Linked DNA regions of Struthio camelus. The protein of the gene in region 1 binds, or shares a complex with, the protein of each later gene. Links are inferred from orthologs where the notes say so. Each region holds a gene or a part of one and is shown on either strand. Other genes may lie near its edges. The genes, in order: CSF3R and CSF3.

What was found.
Region 2: the proteins of CSF3R (region 1) and CSF3 are in contact, whole or in part, in a crystal structure (PDB 2D9Q), measured with the Homo sapiens proteins. The link is inferred for Struthio camelus from reciprocal best matches to the Homo sapiens genes CSF3R and CSF3. Residues at the interface, in NP_000751.1 of Homo sapiens: Arg164, Arg190, Lys191, Leu193, Leu194, Leu195, Tyr196, Gln197, Asp220, Met222, His261, Ile262, Asn263, Arg311, Pro313, Leu314; in NP_000750.1 of Homo sapiens: Ser42, Leu45, Lys46, Glu49, Gln50, Arg52, Lys53, Leu141, Asp142, Asp145, Thr148, Thr149, Gln152.

Annotation. Positions count from the first base shown.
Region 1 is NC_090964.1:10,341,583-10,351,053, forward strand, and holds the start of CSF3R (granulocyte colony-stimulating factor receptor), read right to left. Parts: upstream 4,647-9,471; 5' UTR 4,426-4,646; intron 3,903-4,425; 5' UTR 3,498-3,902; coding exon 3,428-3,497; intron 3,316-3,427; coding exon 3,016-3,315; intron 2,845-3,015; coding exon 2,724-2,844; intron 2,641-2,723; coding exon 2,453-2,640; intron 1,799-2,452; coding exon 1,644-1,798; intron 1,000-1,643; coding exon 846-999; intron 688-845; coding exon 605-687; intron 522-604; coding exon 308-521; intron 1-307. UniProt on the Homo sapiens protein: Receptor for granulocyte colony-stimulating factor (CSF3), essential for granulocytic maturation. Plays a crucial role in the proliferation, differentiation and survival of cells along the neutrophilic lineage.
Region 2 is NC_090966.1:6,760,109-6,770,131, reverse strand, and holds CSF3 (granulocyte colony-stimulating factor), read right to left. Parts: upstream 3,940-10,023; 5' UTR 3,814-3,939; coding exon 3,786-3,813; intron 3,444-3,785; coding exon 3,283-3,443; intron 3,117-3,282; coding exon 3,009-3,116; intron 2,826-3,008; coding exon 2,679-2,825; intron 2,380-2,678; coding exon 2,209-2,379; 3' UTR 1,310-2,208; downstream 1-1,309. Other genes in the region: PSMD3 (26S proteasome non-ATPase regulatory subunit 3), read right to left, coding at 7,042-7,119, 7,274-7,324, 7,684-7,839, 8,122-8,225, 8,368-8,487, 8,864-8,978, 9,169-9,272, 9,479-9,669 and 1 more. UniProt on the Homo sapiens protein: Granulocyte/macrophage colony-stimulating factors are cytokines that act in hematopoiesis by controlling the production, differentiation, and function of 2 related white cell populations of the blood, the granulocytes and the monocytes-macrophages.

The DNA.
Region 1 (9,471 bases):
CTCCCCAGCTCTGCGCTCCCGCCTTGCCTCCCAGCGGAGCCCCTCCGTGCCCGGCGGAGCCTGCCCGGGCTCCCGCGCTGCTCCGCGCAGCGGTTTTGCACCTCACGGGCAGCCCGTTTGGGAGCCCCGAGACCGCACGCCCAGGCGAGCACCTCCGCTGGGGCTGCAGCCACGTGAGATGTGGTCAACCCCCTGCGGCAGGGCAACGGGGCGCCAACGGGGGCTCGTGGCCCTGCCTGCAGCCCCCAGTCTGGGAGGTATTTGAGGGCTGCGGAGAGATGCTGCTCTGGTTTGCACCAGCGCTCACCTGTCTTCTCCAGGAGGACAACCTCGGTCGCGGCCGACTCGCCGGCAGCGTTGTAGGCTGTGAGATAGACCCTCCTGGCTCCCGCCGGGGCGGAGAAGTTGCACTGGGTGTCCGCGGTGTCGCAGACGGCGGGGGGGTCCCGGCCCCTCCGCCGGGGGCTCAGCGCCACGCGGTAGCCCAGCAGCCTCCCGTTGGCCTCCCGCCGCGGCGGAGCCTGCGGGCGCAGACAGGCCGGACAGGGCGCTGGGGCGGCTCTGCTGCGGGAGCCCCCGCGCGCTTGCCACCCCCCGCGGGTACCTTCCACCACAGCTGCACCTCGACCCTCCGGCCAGCATCCGCGGGCTGCGTGCTCCACCACGCGTCCAGTCTCGCTGTAGGGGCTGTCGCGGGGGAAAGGCGGAGGAGATGCTGCAAGGGGCTGGTGTCCGCGGCCAGCGCCCTCCGCGCAGCCGTGTGCCACGCACGAGCCGTGCTGCTGCAGCTCGGGGCGCCCGCGGGGGCTCCCCGCTGCCGCCGTGCCCCGCGTGCCCGCACCCACCTTTCTCGTGGGTGGTGAAGTTCCTGCCCGGGCTCCACTCGCTCCAGTAGCCCCCGGGCGAGGGCCGCCGGCAGCGCATCTCGAAGTGGTACTGCGTCCCGAAGAGGAAGCCGCAGTGCTGCGTCGGCCGGGCCTGGCTGCCGATGCCGGGGACCTGCGGGCAGCCGGAGCAGGGGCTGCGTTAGCTCCCCGACGGGGCGGCTCCTCCCCGTCCTGCCCCGGAGCCGGGGCCAGGGGCAGCCCTGGAGCGCGCGGTGGGTCTGCGGCAGGCGCTTGGGGTCTCTGCCACCCGCCCGGGGCAGGGAAGGATGAGGACATGCACCCTCGCCAAGGACGGAGGGTTTTGCGGGAGCCGGCGTGTGCCTGCGAGGCAGGTCCGTGGGGCGGCTCTGCGGCAGCCCGGGCCACGGTCGCCGGCAGGAGCACGCAGCAGGGAACCCAGTGCCGGGCTGGCCTCAGCCGTGAGGCCTCCTCCGGGGCACGGAGGAGCTCGGTGAAGGGGGATCACACAGGTGTGGTGAGATGTGGTGGCCTCGGCACGCAGCCCAAGTAAGGACCGGCAGAAAGCAGGAGCTTGCATGACAGCACCGTGGGAAAAACACTGCTGCCATATCCCTCCCGTAGTGAGCAAGGCTGGGAGGAAAGCGCAGGCGCTGATCGGTACCCAGAGGTGCCCAGGTGCACAAAGCAGGGTGCAAAATCTGGCAGAGCGAGGAGCAGATGTGGGGAGTGCTGGTTCCTGCTCGCCTGCAGCCCCTCGCCGGCCCCTCTCCAGCCCCGGCGCTGAGCATCGCTCACCAGCGCCCAGGCCGGGTCCTCTGGGCTCCTGTAGCGCAGCTCACACTGCAGCTCCATGTGCGCGCTGGTCCGGGCGGCCTCCCAGGACACCGAGACGCAGTCCGTCTGGTGGGGGATGGACTGGATGCTCTGCAGCACGGGAGGGTCCAGCTTGGCTGGAGGGAAAGCCGGGCAGAGCTGGAGATGCTGCGGGCGGACGGTGCCCGTGCGGGCCGGCGGGGCTCTGCACCCCGGCTCTGCCAGGGCTGCAGCCTCGCGCGTGGCCGAAGGCACCGTTGTTATTAACGCCGCGAACCGCAGCCCTGGCTCTGGCCTGCTCTGACCTCCTGGCAAGTGGGATTAGACAGAAACAGCCCCAAAACATTTTGGAGAACGGCTTGTGGAAAGGGCCCGGAGCCAGCGTGCAGTGAGGTGCAGACGCCCCGCGCGGCCACAGCGGGCTTCGCGGGCGGCTCTTCCCTGGGTGCAGACCAGGGACGACCAGTCTCATCGTCTGAGGAGGTTTCTTTTTATAAATAGTTTATGGGAGTTGTATGTATTATTAATAGACCTCCTGAAGAAACGGGTAATCAATTGCTGGAGAGAGTTGTAGAGTGCAGCAGGTCAACCGACGGCTCATACCCAGCCGGCACACGCTGCTCAGGTCTGTAATACGGCTCTGGCACCTATTCATCTTCGCAAGCCGTTTATCATGGGAACCTAAAAGCCTGACGTGCTGTCACGGCACTCTAAAATCCCTCCCGCACCGATAATTAGTTTCCGTGGCCCGCGACGGCCGCTCGGGGCAGGAGGCTCCCGCCGTCACTCACCGACGTCCATGGGGTCGATGCGGAGGCGCTCCGACTCGGCCGTGCCCAGGGCGTTGCGGGCGGACACCCAGATGTCCATTTTCCGGTAGAGCTGGAGCAGCCTGCGGGGCACGGTGCAGCAGTGGCAGCCGCCCCGCGGGGTGCAGCCCGTCACCGCCTCGCCGGCGGCCTCCCGCTGCGCTCTGCTCCTGCCGACGGAGACGGGAGGGCTCGGATAAGCGGGGATAGGGGCCGGGGGCCGGAGAGCAGGGGCGCCGCGCGGCCCGCTTACGTGGCGCACTTGAGGGCGACGGCGGTGGGGAGGCTGTCGGCTCCCCGCTCCCACCGGCACGTCAGCCCGTAGTCGCTGAGGTTCAGCATGCAGGTGAGGTTGAAGGGCTTCGCAGGCGGGTCTAGGGAGAAAGCAGCCAGGAGGAGCCTGAGCAAACCTGCCCCAAACCCTGCGCCTCGGCGTGCTGGGGAGCACCCAGGGCAGCTCCGCGGAGGCCCGGGTCGGCGGCCCCCCCGGCTGCCCAGCCCCAGCCACGCCAGGCCTGGCCGCGCGCCCCGCGGGGCAGACTCACAGCCCGCCTGGATCTCCGCCACGCCGACCCGCTGCCGGGTGCCGTTCCACTCCACGAGGCACCACAGCCTGGCCTGGCTGCGGCTGAAGTTGGCCACGGTGAGGTCGGACACCTCCGTCCCCCCCGGGCCGCGGCGCTGCCTGCCGGCCAGGGGCTCGCCGTCCAGCATCCAGGCGATGCGGATCTTCCCGCGCTCCAGCCCGCGGCAGAGCTCGCTCTGGACGGTGCAGGACGCCGTGACGGCCGATCCCAGGGGGACGACGGGGGAGCCCACGGCCACCGAGGCGCAGCCCTGGGTCCCTGCGGGCGGGAAAAGGGCGTCACGCCCAGGGCACGGCCGCGGCCGAGCCGGCCGGCCCCGTGGCACCCAGGCAGGGCAGAGGGGCGAGCGCGGGGCTGGGCACCCACTCACCGCCCAGGGAGAGCAGGAGGAGCAGGGAGAGCCGCTGCAGCAAGGTTGTCCCGGCGCCGTGCCTGGCCATGATCCGCTCCTTGGCTTTGGCATCACCTGGAGTTCAGACACGGGCTCCTCTCGGCAGGTCGGGGAGGGGGCCGGGAAGCGGCCGGATTAGATCCCCCTTGCTGCGACAACCGCGGGTGCTTGCTGGAGCCCAACGTCCTCTGGGCGCAGCCTCCCTCCGGCGGCCCTTCCGCAGCGCTGACACATCCGAGCCGCCCGCGGGGCACCGACGACGGGAAGGGGCGCGGGGCGCGCGGCTCTGCCCGGCCACCGGCTCTCCGCCCTGCTCTCCCCGTTTCCGCAGCACGAACCTGGAGCTGCGCTCCGGGCACGAGCTGCTTTTATCTCAGGTACCTTCTGTCTCTGCCGGGGACAGATTTGTGGTTTAAGCAAGGGTGAGAGCTGAGGTTTTGGGTGGCAGAGCGGTCTGATAAGCAGAAAGGAGGAAAGGAATGAACGAAGGCGATGCAGCAGGGTCTGCAGGGCCTCGGGGTCCTGCCCGCACCCTCTCTCCTGCGCTTCCCCCCTCCACCTGCATCCCCCGGCCGCTGCCGGGAATGGATCCAAACCTCCCTGCGCTGCGCCCGGGGCAGCCGGAGCCACCGAGCCGCCTCTCCGGCCCCTGCCCGGCTGTGCGGCACCCCTTTCCCCGGGGCGTTCGCGGCTGCCTCCTCCTCGGTGGGGGACACGTGCCCCCCCGAGGGGCTGCCCGCGCCGGCACCCGCCTCTGGCACGCTCCTTGCCCCGGAGCCGGCATGCAGGGGCAGGCAAGCCCGGCACGGCTGATGGGAAAGCAGCCGCCGGCGGCGCACCCCTGCTCCGGCACGCGGCCGTCCCCACCGCCGGGCCAGGCACGGCCGTCGGCGCAGCCGCGGGTAACGCGCTGGGTCCGCGCCGCCGGGGCACGCCGGGCGGCCCGCGCTCACCGGACCCCGGCGCCCCGTCCCTACCTCGCCTCTGCGCCCGCCGCCTCCGGCCGCCGCTCACCGCCCGCTCCCAGCGCTGGTCTCCGGCTCCCGGCGCATCGCCGCGCTCAGCCCGTTTGCTAGCACGCTGCTCTCACCGTTAGTTCCTCAAAACCAGTGCCGTTAATTGCTGTGACTCTGGAGAAGGTGATTGCAAAACACTTCCCTGAAGGCTGTGCCTGCCGTGCTCGCTGGCAGGAAGGGGAGCCCAGGGCACACGTCCAGCGCCCGGAGCGGGACCTGCCGCCCGCCCCGCCGGCCCTCGGCAGCGGGGCCGGGGCAGCGGCCGCCTCCTTGCTGCAGCCTGCCGGGGCCGGGCCGGGGGACGCGGCGCGCGGAGGGGCAGGAGGCGGCCGCGGGCGGGTGCTGAGCGCAGCTGGCGCACTGCAGCTCCCAGCTCCCAACCCGCTCCCGCGCTCCTGCTCGGCACCCGCCGCGGGGGTCTGGGCTCGTCCCCGCATCCTCGTCCTCCTGAGCTCCAGGGTCCTCGCCTGGGATGCGTCTCCCAGGTTCCCGGGAGCATCCGCACCGTGTGCTGCGGGCCCCCTGCACCGGCCCTCCCGGCCGCTCGCAGCCACGCAGGGACCGTCCCTCCCAGAGCCTGGCTCTGGCGAGAGCAGTCCTGTCCCCGATTTGCTCTAAATCGCCCCCATCCCCATCACGCGAGCTCCACGGGCCAGGAAGCACCGTGGGACCTCGAGGGGCTCCTGTGCCGGGGCCCGTGGAAGGCAGGATCCGGCCCCCGGCCCCAGCAGCTGCCTCCCAGCCCGGTGGCTCCCAGCAGGACCCAACGACGTGTCCCAGAGCTGGGGGACCAGCGAGGTGCCGCAAGGGCAGAGGGAGACCCAGCTTCGCCCCCGGTATGTCCCCGCCCCGGCCCTTGGCCCAGGTTCGGGGCCGGGGGCTTCCAGCGGCTCCTTCGCCCGGGGGGCCAGCAGCTGCCCCACGGCAGCTCCTCGCTGCGGCTGGGACCAGGCAGGGCTGCCCGGTCGCGCCGCGTCCTGCGGACGTGGGAAAAACCCCGGGTCCAGCAGGACGGAGCCGGAGCATCCGGGTAAACAGGGGATTGCCCAAGCTACGACGCACTCGCAGCCTTCGCAACGGAGGCATTTATTGTGCAAACAACTGTTTACTATGGGATTTACGGCATGCGTGCGTCGAGTCTAGCGGCACGCTACCCAGCGCTCCCGCAGCTCCACACTGCGCCTTACCCCGGGGCCGACGGGCACGCGGGTGCAGGGCATCCGCGCAGGGAGCCGCGCTCCCGCATCGCCTCCCGCCGAGGAGGGCTGCTCGCTGCAGGTGGCACACGGCCGTCTCGCCACACACCCCGACTGCCCCGTGGGGCAAAGCTCCTTCCCCAAAGCCCTACTCTGCCCCCGGGCCCTGGCGGGTTGCCCGCAGCAGGCCTGGCCCCGTGCAGCCTGCAGCCCGTGGGGAGCGGCGGGTGCAGGGGCAGCAGCAGCTCCTGCTGCTCGTCAGGGGTGATGCGCTGGAGAAACGCGCAGCCGTTGCATCAAAACTGTAGAGGTTGAGCTAAGGGAGCAGGAAGCCAGCGGGAACATTGTGGCCAGCTGTGGGCTGCTGCGCTGGGGTGCCTGCAAACACAGGATGAGGCCTGGGAGCAGCTCCTCCGGTGCCAGCACATGACCAGCAGCCCCTGCCCCAGCTCTGATGCTGCTGCTGCTGCTGCTGCCCCAGCTCTGCTCCTGCCCCAGCCCCAGCTCCCAGTCCTGCTCCTGCCCCAGCTCTGCTCCTGCCCCAGCCCCAGCTCTGCTCCTGCTCCTGCTCCTGCCCCAGCTCTGCTCCTGCTCCTGCCCCAGCTCTGCTCCTGCTCCTGCCCCAGCTCCCAGTCCTGCCCCAGCCCCAGCTCCCAGTCCTGCCCCAGCCCCAGCCCCAGCCCCAGCCCCAGGGATCCTGCCCAACGCTGGCCTCCTCAGTCCTCCTTCCTCCCCGATCAGCTCAGCTGTGCTGCTCCCAGCAGCAACTCTCCCACCTGCAGTGAATCCATCCTGCCTATTAGCAGCTGCGGCGGGGCGAGCCGGGCTGGGGCCAGGGAGGCTGATTAGCCGCCTGGCACCAGCCCCGCTGTGCTGCTGCCGGTCGCAGGGTCGGCTGCGGGAGCGCGGCCCCGGCCGGGCCAGCGGTGCCCCCGGAGCAACCCCAGGCCCTATTGCAGCGTGAGCCCAGGGCTCCCCGAAGCAGCGTCTCCACCTGCTTCGCTGCCCAGTGGCTGCCGGCTGCCGTCTGCTGTCCGGCGACGTGGCTGAGCCCCTCTGGCAGGGCACCGTGGGTGCTGGTGCGGGGCGCCCTGCCGGGGCGACCGGGGATGCTGAGGGCCTCGTCTGCCCACGGACCCTTCTCACCCAAGGCAACATCCCCCAGTGCTCGCTGCAGAATTGCACCTGGAAACATCAACAGGCTGCGTTTTCCTGGGCTGCAGGGAGCCCGTCCCCCCGTCGCATCCCGCCAGGCCTGTCCCCTCGCGCCGCAGGCTGCCTCCTCCAGCCGGAGCGTTGCGCAAAGGTTGTTTTTCACATGCACGGTCTCCGTGTTTCCGCTCCGGGCAGAGGTGCGGCTGGGATGTGTTGCCCTGCTGAGCACTCACCTCCCCGCCAGGCCCTGGCCGGGCCAGCCCTGGCGGCTGCGAGGTGGCCAAGCTGCCCCACAAGCGCCCACCGGCCTCCAACCCCCCAGGAGAGATTTTGGGGAAAAAAGATAGCACAGCTGAACCATGCAGCGTGCTGAAAATCAGCCTGTGCCAGCCAGCGCCGGGGCTCCGCCGGGCTTTGGCACAGCCGGCTGCGGAGCTCTGCTCCCCCGGAGCCCAGCGCTGCCCCGGCGTGCCCGCCGCTCGGTGAGCGCTGCCTTGCCCGGGGCCAAGCCGCCGTTTGCTTTTCCTTGCTGCTCGCCAGCCTCAGCGCTGGCGCTGTGGCCAGCCCGTGCCCGGGCTCTGGGCAGGGCCTGTCCCCGGCTGCGGTCCCCGGAGCCGGGGTGCTCACGGGGGAGCCGGCACGGGCAGCGCGTGCACGGGGGATGCAGGTGTTTCGGCAGCTCCCAGGAGAAGATGGGACAAGTTTTCTCTTTCCTCCTCCTGGTGCCCCTGCAGTGGCTCCGACGGTGCCCGGTGACACCGTTCCCAGCCGGGGGCTGTTTCCCACAGCTGCCCTGGGCAGGATGGGGAGGGAGAAGTTGCCATTGCAACATTTTCCTTGGGTGTAGCAACCCCCAGCGCTTTACCACGGAAATCTGCCTTCTTGCAGGCTGTTTACGGCCCAGAGCAGGAATATTCGTTCTGGTAACTATGGTGACATGGGCATCTCCGTGGGAACCGCGAGGGAAGTAGAAAGCTGTAAACATGAAGCTGGACAGAAAACAAATGCTGCCCTCCCCGCGCCCCATTGCACCCGGCAGCCTGGCCTGGGGGCGCGGGGCCAGGGCTCGGCTGGGGCCAGCGCTGCTCCGAGCCCAGGAAGCCGCTGGGTCCTGGGGGCTGCGCTGCCCTGCGGCTGCATTGCCCCGGCATGTGCGCGGGGGGCACATGGGCGCGCGGATGGGCCGTGCATCCCGGGGCGCGCGGATGGGCCGTGCATCCCTGCGCTCACGGGACGGTGCATCCCTGCACGTGCGGCTAGGGCTGCGCACCCTGTACACATGGATGAGGGGATGCCCCTGCGTTCGCATGTGGGACTGTGGGACTGGCACCCACCTGGTGCACACCTGCCCTCGTGCTCATGTGGCCCTACTCCGCAGGGAAAGGGTTTGTCCCCCAAGGAGGCGCTGGCATTGCCACTCCGGCAGTGCTGGGCGCTCAGCTCTCCCTGCGCGGTCCTGGTGCAGCGATCCCCTTCCCCAGAGCCGTGGGGCTGGTCGCAGATCGGGGCAGGGAGCTGTCGCTGCCCCATGACCGCACTCTCGGTTCCCCTTTGGCTCTGAGTCACCCTCACAGGCTCCCAGACCCTTCCCCACCTCGGCGGGGCTGGGAGGGTCCCTGGCTGCTCCCGGCAGGGTCCTGCAGCCCGAGCACGTGGGTCCCGGCCGGCCCGCAGGGGCTGCGGGAGCCGAGGTGGGGAGGATGCCGCGGGGGCACGGGCGCGCGGAGGAAGCCGGAGGGGACACGGGGTCCCTGCGGGAGGGGGCAGTGCCGGGCAGGCGGTGGCAGGGGCACCCCGGTTCGGAGGCAGGGCAGGCGCTCGCAGCCCGGGCAAGGCGCGTCGCGGGGCCGCGAGCCCCCGGCCCGTGGCGCAAGAGCCGCCTCCGTGCCCGGCCGGTGACGCAGCGAGTGGGAACTCGGAAAGGGGAAGTGGCAGCGGGGCTCCGAAGGGCTTTTCCAGAGTTGCAGCGCGTGGGATGGGGAGCCAAAGCCCAGGCTGACCTGGCAGCCCAGCGCGCCCCGGCCGCTGCTTGCAGCCATCTGCACGTCGCCCTGGGGCTGACAGAGGGGAAGGGCCCGAGCCCTTCCCGGCAAGGCAGCATCAGCTTCCCGCGCCCGGGCACGGGCGCCACCGCCATCCCTCGCTCCCGGCGCAGGGGCAGCGCGGAGCATCTCCGCTTTCCCACCGAGCTGCCGAAGCGAGGTCTCTGCCCGGCGGTGCGGCTGGCGGGCTCCTGCCACCCAGACACCTCCCGGACGGTCTCCCCGGGCCGGGGGGCCGGGCGAGCTGGGCACGGAGGCGAGAGTGCTTCCCGCAGCCAGATGCCGGCGGCTGTCAGGCATGTTATCAGCCCCTCTGATTTAATCCCTGCTGGGTGGATCATTGCTATTAGGCAAAGTAAAGTATGTTACTGGCTTGCATCCGCTCAGCTGCCAGCAAGAACCAGCATCCCTAAAGAGATTTTTCCTTTTCTTCTTTTTATTCCGTAAAAAAAAAAATGCTGCCAGCCATGTAGGATGCAAGATCTAAGCACAAAACCTGGTGCAGTCTCCAATGTGCCAGGTTTCCCTGCTGTCCAACACGATTAATTCAACAAACCGCGTTGTTCCGCCCCTGGGCGATGTGGTGGGAGGTGAAGGCTGCGCGGCGGCCGCGG
Region 2 (10,023 bases), on another chromosome or scaffold:
GTGGGGGGAAAGGCGGCCGATGGTGACGCGGGGCTGGCCTGAGCCCGTGGCCCCTGCGTGCAAGGGCAGCTCTTTACCGTTAGCTCGGAGCAAAGAGCAGAGCTGGGTGCCCGCAGCCTCTGTCAATATTTGCCTGCTCGGTGGGGGCCGTGCGGCTGCCCCGAGCTCGGCATTGGCCCTTCCCCAGCTCCCAGGGCTTCACCTTCCTGGAAGGGGCTGGAGCTGGCGCAGGGGTTTCCTGTAAGCGCTGATAAGCCCGGGCAGGAAGGCGCGATGCCTCCCGCTGTTTGTTCTTCAGAAAGGCAGCGCAGGGAGGGCGCACATCAAAATAAACACAGGCAGCGGCATCCCCACGGTGGTGAGGGGCAGGGGGACCGTGGGCTGGGGGGACGCGGGAGCAGGGGCCCGGCTGCAGCTGCCCCCGCGGGGCCGGGGCTGCCGGCGCGGTCACAGGACGCGAGCACGGGACCGGCAGGAGGAAGCACAGGCTGCTGCAACCCCGGGAGCGTGGGGACAGGCCGTGGTGGCCAAACGCCCGGTGCAGGAATAGGGAAGAGGCCGTGGGCTGCCCGCGTGGGCTCGCCTGGGACTGGCACGGCGGCTGCTGGGGCTCTGCCACGATCCAGGGGCTGCTCCGGGGCCAGGGCTCGGGCTCCCGGCTCTGCTGCCTGTGCCCAGGCGCGTCCGTGTGTCCGTCTCGGTTTTCCCGCTGCCGCCAGGCTCTGGGAGGCCCCCGGGAGCGCGGCCGAGGCATCATCGGTCCTGGGCGGCTCTAGAGCAAAATCCCCTTGTGGCAGGAGCGAAAGAGGAATTGCCGGGGGCCGGCGGTGCTGGTGCGTCACTGTCCAGCAGCGCATCGCGGGTTGGGAAGCGGACGAGGCCGGGAGCCGGGACCGGCCCGAGCATCACCGCCGGCCCTGCGCAGAGCCCTGAGTGCTCATCACGCCTGTGCTTCCCTTCCTGGGCGCGGGAAGGCTCTGTGCTGCCGGGGCAAAGAGCAGGGGGCTCACGGGCTGCTGTGTCGGGGCACCCCGGCTGCGCTGGCAGAGCTGCATGGCCCCCGGGCGCAGAGCTGCCGCCGGCGCTTTCTAGGAATCGGTGCTTGCCCAAGCCGCGCGGGAGGAAGCTGCCGCCCCCGCGCCGCGGGGAGCCGGGCCGGCCCTGGCCGCATCCGGGGCCCCCGCGCGCCCCGGCCCCGGAGGGGCTCTGCCCCAGCCGCGGGAGCCGCCGAGCTCGGCCCGGCCCGGCCGTCGCGGCCCCTTCACCCACAGTGCAGGCGGGGGACGGCGGGGAATGCAAACAGCCCACGTTTCAGAGCAAAAATAGAGTTTATTTCCGTTTTTTATAGTGTATAAAAAATACCATGTATTTCTCTGGGGCTAACCCAGCTGCAGTAATAAATACCAGTACAAAATACAGCGGGACGGAGCCCCTGCCAGGGCGCCGGCGGCCGCGCGGGCCCGGGAGTGCGGAGCCGAGCCGGGGCCGGGCGGACGCCGGGCTCGGGGGCCCGGACCGCGCCGCGGCCCCGCTCGCCAGGGCCGGGCCGTGAGCGGGGCGCCGCTCTCCCGGCCCTGGAAATGGGTGCGAATAAGTTAAACTGGGATAAATAGAGAGCGTTTAGCTCCAGGGGGGCAGCGCGGCTCCCCGGAGGCTGCTGCTTCGGCATCTTGCACCGACTGCGGGTCGAGAGCCTGGGGGCTCCTCCAGCCTCCCCTCCCGCCTGCTCTATACCTAATGGCTAATAAATATTAATTAATGTAAATATGCATAATACAAATAACACCCGTCAAAATCGTCCCTGCAGGGCTGTAAACCGGGCAGGGAGATGCTGCTCTGAAGCCTCTTCATCCCCGGACGGAGACGGTTTCCCCCTCGGCGCGGGGATGCTGAGGCAGGCAGCACCCGGCCAGGCGATGGGGAAACCGAGGCACGCGCAGCCGCCGGGCCTGGGCCCAGCTCCCGATCCTCGTAGCAGAGATACGCTTTTGTTTAAATATTAAACAAGGCTGATGCTGCGCACAGCTACCCGTGCGCGGACGGCACCCCGGGGCAGACCTGGGCCAGCTCCTCCATGTTAAATAGCGATAAATATTAAATAAGCGGAAAAGCCGGGCTGTCCCGGGGAGGGGGGCGCGGGGCGGCGCGGGGTGGCCCCGGCGAGCGGCAGGGAGCCCGCGGCCCGGCCTGGCTCCGCGCCGCCGGGCGTCAGAGCCGGGCCAGGTGCCGCAGCGCCCGGTACGCCGTCTCCAGGAACCGCTGGAAGTTGGCCAGGATGAAGAAGCCGCCGACCTGGTGGTGGAAGGGGGAGGAGAAGGCGGGGAGGGCGCCCCGCTCCTCGGCGGGGTACGTCACCGTGGCCAGGCCCAGGTCCTCCATCTAGAGCGGGGCAGGGGGACGCGTCAGAGGGGTCCTCGGACCGGAGGCGTCCGGAGAGCTGGCGTGAGCCCTGGCACCCCCTGCCTCTGCCCGGGGACGCGGTGCCACCCGGGGTGCCGAGCCCCATGTCCTCCCCGGGGGTGCCACCCGGGGTGCAGAGCCCCACGTCCTCCCTAGGGTGCCATGTGGGGTGCAGAGCCCCACGTCCTCCCCGGGGTGCCACCCAGGGTGCAGAGCCCCTCGTCCTCCCCAGGGCGCTGAGCCCCACCGCATCCCCGCCGTCCCCGGCTGCTCCTCACCTGCTGCTGGATGTTGGAGGAGAGGTTGGCGGCGTCGAGCTGCAGCGTCTCCACGAGGCCGGCGTGGGCGGGCAGCAGCTCGCGGACGGAGGCCAGGGAGCCGTGGTAGGCCTGGAGCCCCTCGCGGATCTGGCCGAAGCAGTCTTCCTGCGGGGATACGGCTGGGGTCAGCGGGGCCCGGCTGGGACCGGGGCCACCGCGGCGCCAGCGAGGGACCACTTTCGGCTTGGGGCAGCCAGAAGCGGTGGCAAAGCCGGCCGAGCAGCGGGGAACCGGCCGGGCTGAGACCGGCCAGCTCGTGACATGGGTGGTCCCCCGCGGCGCACTCACCGCCTGGAAGGTCCGGCTGTGGCACTTCTCCAGAGGGGCGTGGGTGATGTCCAGGTCCTGCCGCACCAGCAGCAGCTCTTCCTCCTCGCACAGCTGGAAGGTGTCGCACTGCGGCCGAGGAGGGGAGGGCGTCAGGGCGGCCGGAGCGGCGCGGGACCCCCGCTCCGCAGCCCTCCCCTGGCCGGACGAGCGCGGGCAGGGGAAGGTCACCTTATCCGTGACCCGGCGGCGCGGGTCCCCGGCGCTGCGCGGCCCCCGCGGTGCCGGCACTCACCACGGCGCGCTGCAGCGCGGCCACGTCCCCCTTGATCTTGCGGGTGAACTCGAGGTTTTTGCGCAGGAAGAGCTGGAAGTCCTGGTCGCCCGAGAACTCGGGCAGCGGCGCCCCGTGCAGCGCCCGCCACAGCGCCGCGCCCAGCACCGCCGCCAGCACGCCTGCGGGAGAGCGGCTGGCTCAGCGCCCGCCCGGGCGCCGCGCGTTTGGCCCCCAGCGCCGCAGGCAAGGCGCAAAGATGCCCCGGAAAGGAGGGCGGGCGGCTGCGCCCTCCCCGCGCCCCGCCAGCCCGCCGGTGCCAGCGTGTGCGGGGCCCTAGGGCGGTAGGGGTGCTCTGGGTGCTGGAGCGTCCTGGGTGTTGGGGTGCTGGGTGATGCAGGTGCTCGGGGTGCTGGATGCGGGGTGCTGGGGTGCTACAGGTGCTCGGGGCGTGCTGGGTGCAGGGTGCTATCGGTGCTGGGGTGCACCGGGCGCAGGGTGCACTGGGTGCTGGGGGTACTCACGGGTGAGGGAGCACATGGCGGTGGGCATCTCGGCGTCTCCTCCTCTCTGCAAGTGCTGCCCGGGCCGGCACAGCTCGCTCCTGCCCTGGCTCTGCGCGGCCTCATCGATTAGGGCATTTTATAGACGGCTCCGGGGATTCACACTGATGTGGCAACAGTGCTGATTGCCTCATTGTCTTAATCACCGATATGCAAATCCTGGGAGCTGGGCGCTCCCGGCCGGCCGGCCCGCGCCGCGGCTCGGGGGCTTTCCTGGCCCCCCGCCAGCCTGGTGCCGCTCCGTGCCGCAGGCACCCACCGGCCAGCCCAGGCGCCTGGGGCCGGCGGCTCTGGGCCGCGTGTTGGTGACTGATTAACTCGCCCACGGGGCTCCCGCCGTCTCAGGTGCCCGGTGCCGCTGGACCGCGGCCCAGGGCGGCTCGGAGCGGAGCCGGCGGCTTGGCGCAGCCTCGTCACCCGCCTCGTGCAGCCCCTGCCCGAGCGGCCGCCCCTCCGGCTCCGGCTCCGCCGGGCGCCCGAGCCCCTCGCCCCGGCGTCAGGGCGGGCGAGACCCCACAGCCCAGCCCCGGCAGGAGCCGGCCCTTCGCGGACGTGGCTGCCAGAGAAGCCCCGGGCGGCCGTGGCCCCGGAGCGAGCCCGGCTGCTCCCTGCCCTCCGGCTGCCCCGCTGCTCTGACGTGGGATTTTGGCTCCGGCCGGGTCCCACAAGTGCTTCCCGGGTTATTTGCTGTCTCGGTGCCAGCTGGGTCGGCTCCTGCCCAGCACGGGCCGGCTGGGACGCGGGGCAGCACCCGGGAAAGGGGCTGGTGGGATCCTGGCACCCAGGATTGCGGGGGGGGGGGCATCGCTCCTGCGCCACCGCCCTGCCACAGGGCCCCAGTCCCGTCCCTTCCCTCCCCCAGGCTGCAGGGGACGGGAACCCCCGGCCTCAGGCGCCGGGACCCTCGCTGCCCGCACCGGGCTGGGCCGACTCGTGAGCCGCGCTGCCCGCCACCACAGAGCCCCAAGCCCTTGGAGCCGCTCCAGCCTCCGGCTAGGTGAAAGGAAACACCTGGAAAGGCACAGCCCAGCTGTGAACACCACCCAGAGCCTTGCCCGGCATGAGGCAGGTGTTAACTCTTAAACCTAATGATAACTTTCCCCTCCCAGGGCCTGGAAGTACCATGTGTGCTGCCCTCAGGCTGTGTGAAAGCACCTCAGCAGTGGAGCCTGTTTGTGGGATTTTCCTGGGAGAAATTTGCCCCTCCTGGCTCTGCCTTTTCCCTCCCCGGAGCCAGGGGCAGCCGGGGCCCATCCAGATTAGGGCCCCCATGGAAAGGGGAGAGTGTGACCTGCTGGCACGCCCCTGGCATCACCCTTTTCCCCAGAGCTGAGCGGAGCTGCCATCTCAGCAGGTTGGTGCTTTCAGGAATCGGGGCTGTTGCGGTTTGGGGGGGGGGGCGTGAATCAGAGCCAAGTGGGGCCGAAAGCCCGGGTTGGCTTTCTGAGGAAGGAAGTGGTGTCCGAACTCGAAACCTGTGGGTGGCGAGGCGCGGGCGGGAGCGCTGGGCCAGCACAATTCGCCCGGGGCCGGAGCTGCCCCGGCCCGGCTGCGGGGACTGCCCCGGGCGCCCGCCCCGCTGCGGTTCTGCCTCGTGGCTGCCCTTCCCCTCCGCGGCCTCGCCCGGGGACCCTCCGGCCCCTCCGCCAGCTGCAAGGAAGCGAGCGTTTCCGAGGTGTCCCGAGTGCCGGATGCAGCAGCTACATCGAGCCGGGGCTGTCCCCTTCCCTGCTCCATCCCAGCTGGCAGGGTCTGACCTGTGGCTCCACTGATGTTCCCAGGGGACGGACAAGCCGTATCCGTTGCCCTGGGGCTGCCCCGTTTCTGACCCCCGTGGCCCTTGGCCACCAGCCCAGCTTGGGAGTGCCGGGAGATTCCCAGATTTCCCCAGAGGATGAGCCCAGCTGCCAGCAGGACCCCGCTGGGCCGCTGCATGTCCCCCAGTCCCCATCGCTCCCCCGAGGGGCGCAGAGACTCCAAGCGCGGCAGGGCTGGGTCTGGCACCCGGGCGCAAACCCCTTGGAGGGATGGGGCAGATCCTGGGGGGTCCCTTGCTCCCTGGGCCAGCACCTATGGGGCTGGGAGGGCTGCGGGGCACCAAGAGGGTCCTGCTTGGAGCAGACCTGGTGTCTTTCCCGGCAGGCAGGAGGGGGATGTGGGGCTCAGCCCCTTCCCGCCCAGGCAGCGCTGCTGTGTGCTTGCTGTGTACACAGGCTGCCGGGCAGGCTGCTAATCCTGGTAATCCCTGCCCTGGCCTTCGTTTGCAGCTCCAGAACAAAGCAGCTTTTGGGGAAACAGGATCCTGGCGGCTGGTGTCTGTCAGCACGGCTGAGGCACTCCCAGCACCAGCCCCACTGCTGGCAGCGTGCCACAGGCACCCACACTCAGCTCAGCCCCCAGCTGTGCACCACGTCGGGCCAATGCTGCTGGGCCGTGCACCCTGGGGCCCCTGTCCCCACCTCCTGGGGCCTCAGCGCAGCCAGGATGCGTCCACAGCCCAGCTCCAGGGATCGGATCCTGCTGGGACTGGCGGTGCCTTGACCACACAGCTCCACCTGTCAGCTTCAGGCCTGGAGGTTTGTGTGGGCTGGAGCCAGTCCCAGCTCTGGGCTGGAGCAGGAGTATCTGGGCACCAGCAGCACTCCAGGTACCCCCACGGCCATCCAGAGCAGCCCACAGCTGCTTTTCCAGGCCTCTGATGGCCCTGGCCAGCCCCATGCTTGCTCACAGACTTGAGAACAAACTCACAGCCAGAACAGAGCAGGCTGGTGTTTTTCCAACTTTTATTTTAAAAGTCATAATTGAAGCTTAACAAAGCCTGACCCCATTATTGTTGTGAGAGCCGGGGGCAACTGCAGTCCCCGTGGAGCCCTTCTACCGACCCCCGCCCACCCCAGCCCCGCTTCCCGTGGAGCTCCCAATTCATGGGCCCTTGCGTGCCTCCGCGTGGGGCTCTGCAACGACTTCGACCACAAGCAACCTTAAAAGAACGTTTGTTTACTGGGGAAGGGGGTTCCCTCCGTGGGTGGTGAGGGCAACGAGAGAGCAGGGCCTGTGGCTGTGGGCCCAGGGAACCCACGTGTCCCCCTCCCCCGGTACAGACATGCAGGTATTTATAAAAGAAAGGCAGATCGGGGACCGGGGCCGCGTGAGGCAGCTCTGCTCAGACAGCATCTTCCCTAGGGACAAATAAAAAAAGTACGGCCAAGCCAGAGGGTCACGGGAAACCGTCATCATCGTCTTCTGCCATCTCCTTTGCAAACTCCAGGTCCTGCTGCTCACGCTCCCGGCGCTCCTGGAAAGTGAAGGCAGAAGTTAGCGGCCATGAGGGAGAGGATCCGGGTCCTTCCAATGGCCTTGGTGACTGCTGGGCTGCAGCATGAGCAAGCCTTCTGCCAGTACACAGCCAGCTGAGCCAGAGGGCAGCAGAGGCACGGATGAGGTCTCACCTCTGCAGATTCCAAGTCCTTGTTGTAAGATTTGGGCGGGAACCTCATGGCCTGGAAAAACAAGGGAGACAAGAAGCTGTGAGCAGAAAGAGGCCTCGACTCTGCCCTGTTGTCCCCTTCTGCCAGGCAGAAAGCCACTGCGTTCAAGCCAGCTCTGTCCCAGCCTTAGCTGGACCTCCTTTTCCCATCGGGGCTGAACCTGGGAAGGCAATAAGATGCCTGGGCCAGTTCTGGGAGGCTGATGGAGCCCTCTTCCCTCCAGCTCTGCAGAGAAGCCCTGTGATTCCCTGTGGACGTGCCTGAAGCCTCCCAGTGTGGCCCATTCACCTGATAGGGCAATCCCAGTGGCAAAGGCCCTGCCAGAGAATCAGCTGGAGACCAGCGTGAGGTGCCTGTGCTGCTGCGCTCACCTTGACAGACATGTTGTGGATGTCGAGGCAGAAAGAGATGCGCTGGTGAAATGCCAGCTGGGGCTCCCGGGTTGAGTAGATGTCGATCATTTCTTTTGACTGGACATAACCCTTCTCATGGTTAATGCTGGCCTCGATCACGCCATCCCGGATGGCCTGCAAGCCGGAGGGCACGTGGTCAGGGCACCCGCTGTCTCTGAGGGCTGAGGCAGCAGTTTAGCGCGAAGGGAGTTGGCTGCTGCAACAGGAGCGCTGGACTCGGGACACAGCGCACAGAGACGGGACATGGTGACCTAAGTGTCCCCAGGAAGGGAGTGTTGCAGAGATGGGCGGAAGCAGCCTGGCAGCAGTGCAAGGCCAGCTGCAAGAACCAGGAGCTGCAGACAGGTCCTGGGACCCAGAAGTCATACAGTCGTGTGAGATTTCATATGCAGCTACCTTGGCAACGATGAACTCTGCATCCTCCGGACTGTCCAGCTGTAGCTTCTGGGCGATATCAGCCAGGGAAATGCGAGAATAGGAGAGGCTGATCATACGGACACCTGAGACAAGAAGAAAGAGAACTGAGCCCGCTTTTGCCAGGCAGCCACAGTCCCAGGTGCACAAGGTGACACTCAGCTGCCCGCCAAGCCTGCAGCACCAGCTGTGACACAGCCCCCAAATACCAGAGCGGCAACCTCCTACCTGTCTTGATGACGTTGTGCCTCAAGCGAATGATCAGGGTGTAGGTCCCGTCGGCCTGGAACTTGTCCCCAAACTGATCGAGGACCTGGTTGAACTTGGCCAGGTTCCCAGTCCTGACGGCTGGAGCAGGCAGATGAAGGGGGAGAGAACGTGTAAATCGGGGAAGGATCTAAGGCCGAGGTGCTAGCAGGGAATGTGAGGCGGGGGCCTGACTCCCAGGCCTGCCATCCATTCCTCTTATGAGCTGAGAGGAGAACCCAGGTGTCCTGCGCCCAGCTGCTCAACAGCCTTTCAGGGACTGTGGACTCGCACTTCAGACTGGCACCAAGAGGAGTCTGGCAGCTGGGTCCCTTTGAGGCAAGAGGAGAGAAACCCCCATTGCTCACCACCCCCCCAAGGCTTCCCGCTCCCTTGAAGCACAAAACATGGTGCCAAGACATCACAGTGCCACGGCTCCCAAGAGGAGCCGAGCATGGGCAGGAACGGCCCGTCGTACCCTGAGTCAGGAGGAAGTAGGGCATGAGTGACCGCTTGAGAGAGGGCTGCCTGAACTGGAGCCTGTCCGGGATCTCCCCTAGCAGCAGTTCCACCACGATGAGCAGCTTGTGCACCTTAAGCAAAAAGAGACTATGAGTCCCCAGAGAGCCCAGGCTAAGGCTAAACCCTGCGGACAGCTTCCCCACAGGAGCAGAATGGAGGGAAGCCAGCAAGGTGGTGAGACCTACCCTGCCCCAACTGCGATCCACAACCAACAAGGAACCAACACCCCCGAGCGCTTGTGCGCTTCCCATGCTTGCTCACCGTCTGTTTGAAGCCAACAGCTGTGTGCTGTGGTGCCTTCCGCAGGGCATTCGTCATGGTCCTCCGCGCCTCTGAATACTCCAGCTGAATGGCCTTGATGCGCCCTGGGAGAGGGAGAGGGTTCACACGAGGCAGGAAGCGTTTGGAAAAGCCACCGAGTGAATCCAACTGGACCCACCTGGCTGGGGCTTTAAATTCAGAGTTGAAGCCCCAATGCCGACTGCTCAAACAGATTTTCTGGAGGACCAGAGACCCAAATCTCACATGCATCCTGATCTGCCAGTGGCATGCAGGACCCTCTGTATCTCACCTGTGTAATAGAGGTACCGTGCCCACTCGTTGTTGTTGGCCTGCTCAGGAAACACGGACTTGGAGACGAGCTTTTCTGCTTGGTCGTAGAGGTTGTAGTGAAGGTAGTTCCTCAGCAGCAGGTTCAGGAGGGTGGCCTGCCCGTCTGCATCGTGGCGCAGCGTGGCTGTCCGCAGCCGGGCATGCAGGAAGCTTCAGCGAAGGGAAAGTGCGCGTCAAGGAGGGGAGGAAAGAAATAGCCCGGCTCACCCAGACTCGCAGAGCCAAGCTCAGGGAGAGCCTGCACCCAGAACCATCGTGGAGGGCCAGTCCTACCTCCTGACCACATCAAGTTTATTCAGGAACTCATAGATGCGTGAGTGGTAATAATAACACTTAGCCACCACCAGGTCAAGGGCACGGCGGTTTTGGGAACTGATCTTCTGCATCAGGTCATCGGACACTTTCTGGGCCTGCAGGAGAGGAGCAGAGGTCAGAACAAATGAGCTGCTGCCCAGGAGGAGCTGGGAGACAGACAGGGCTGTGGGCTGCTTTGGCCAAGAGCTG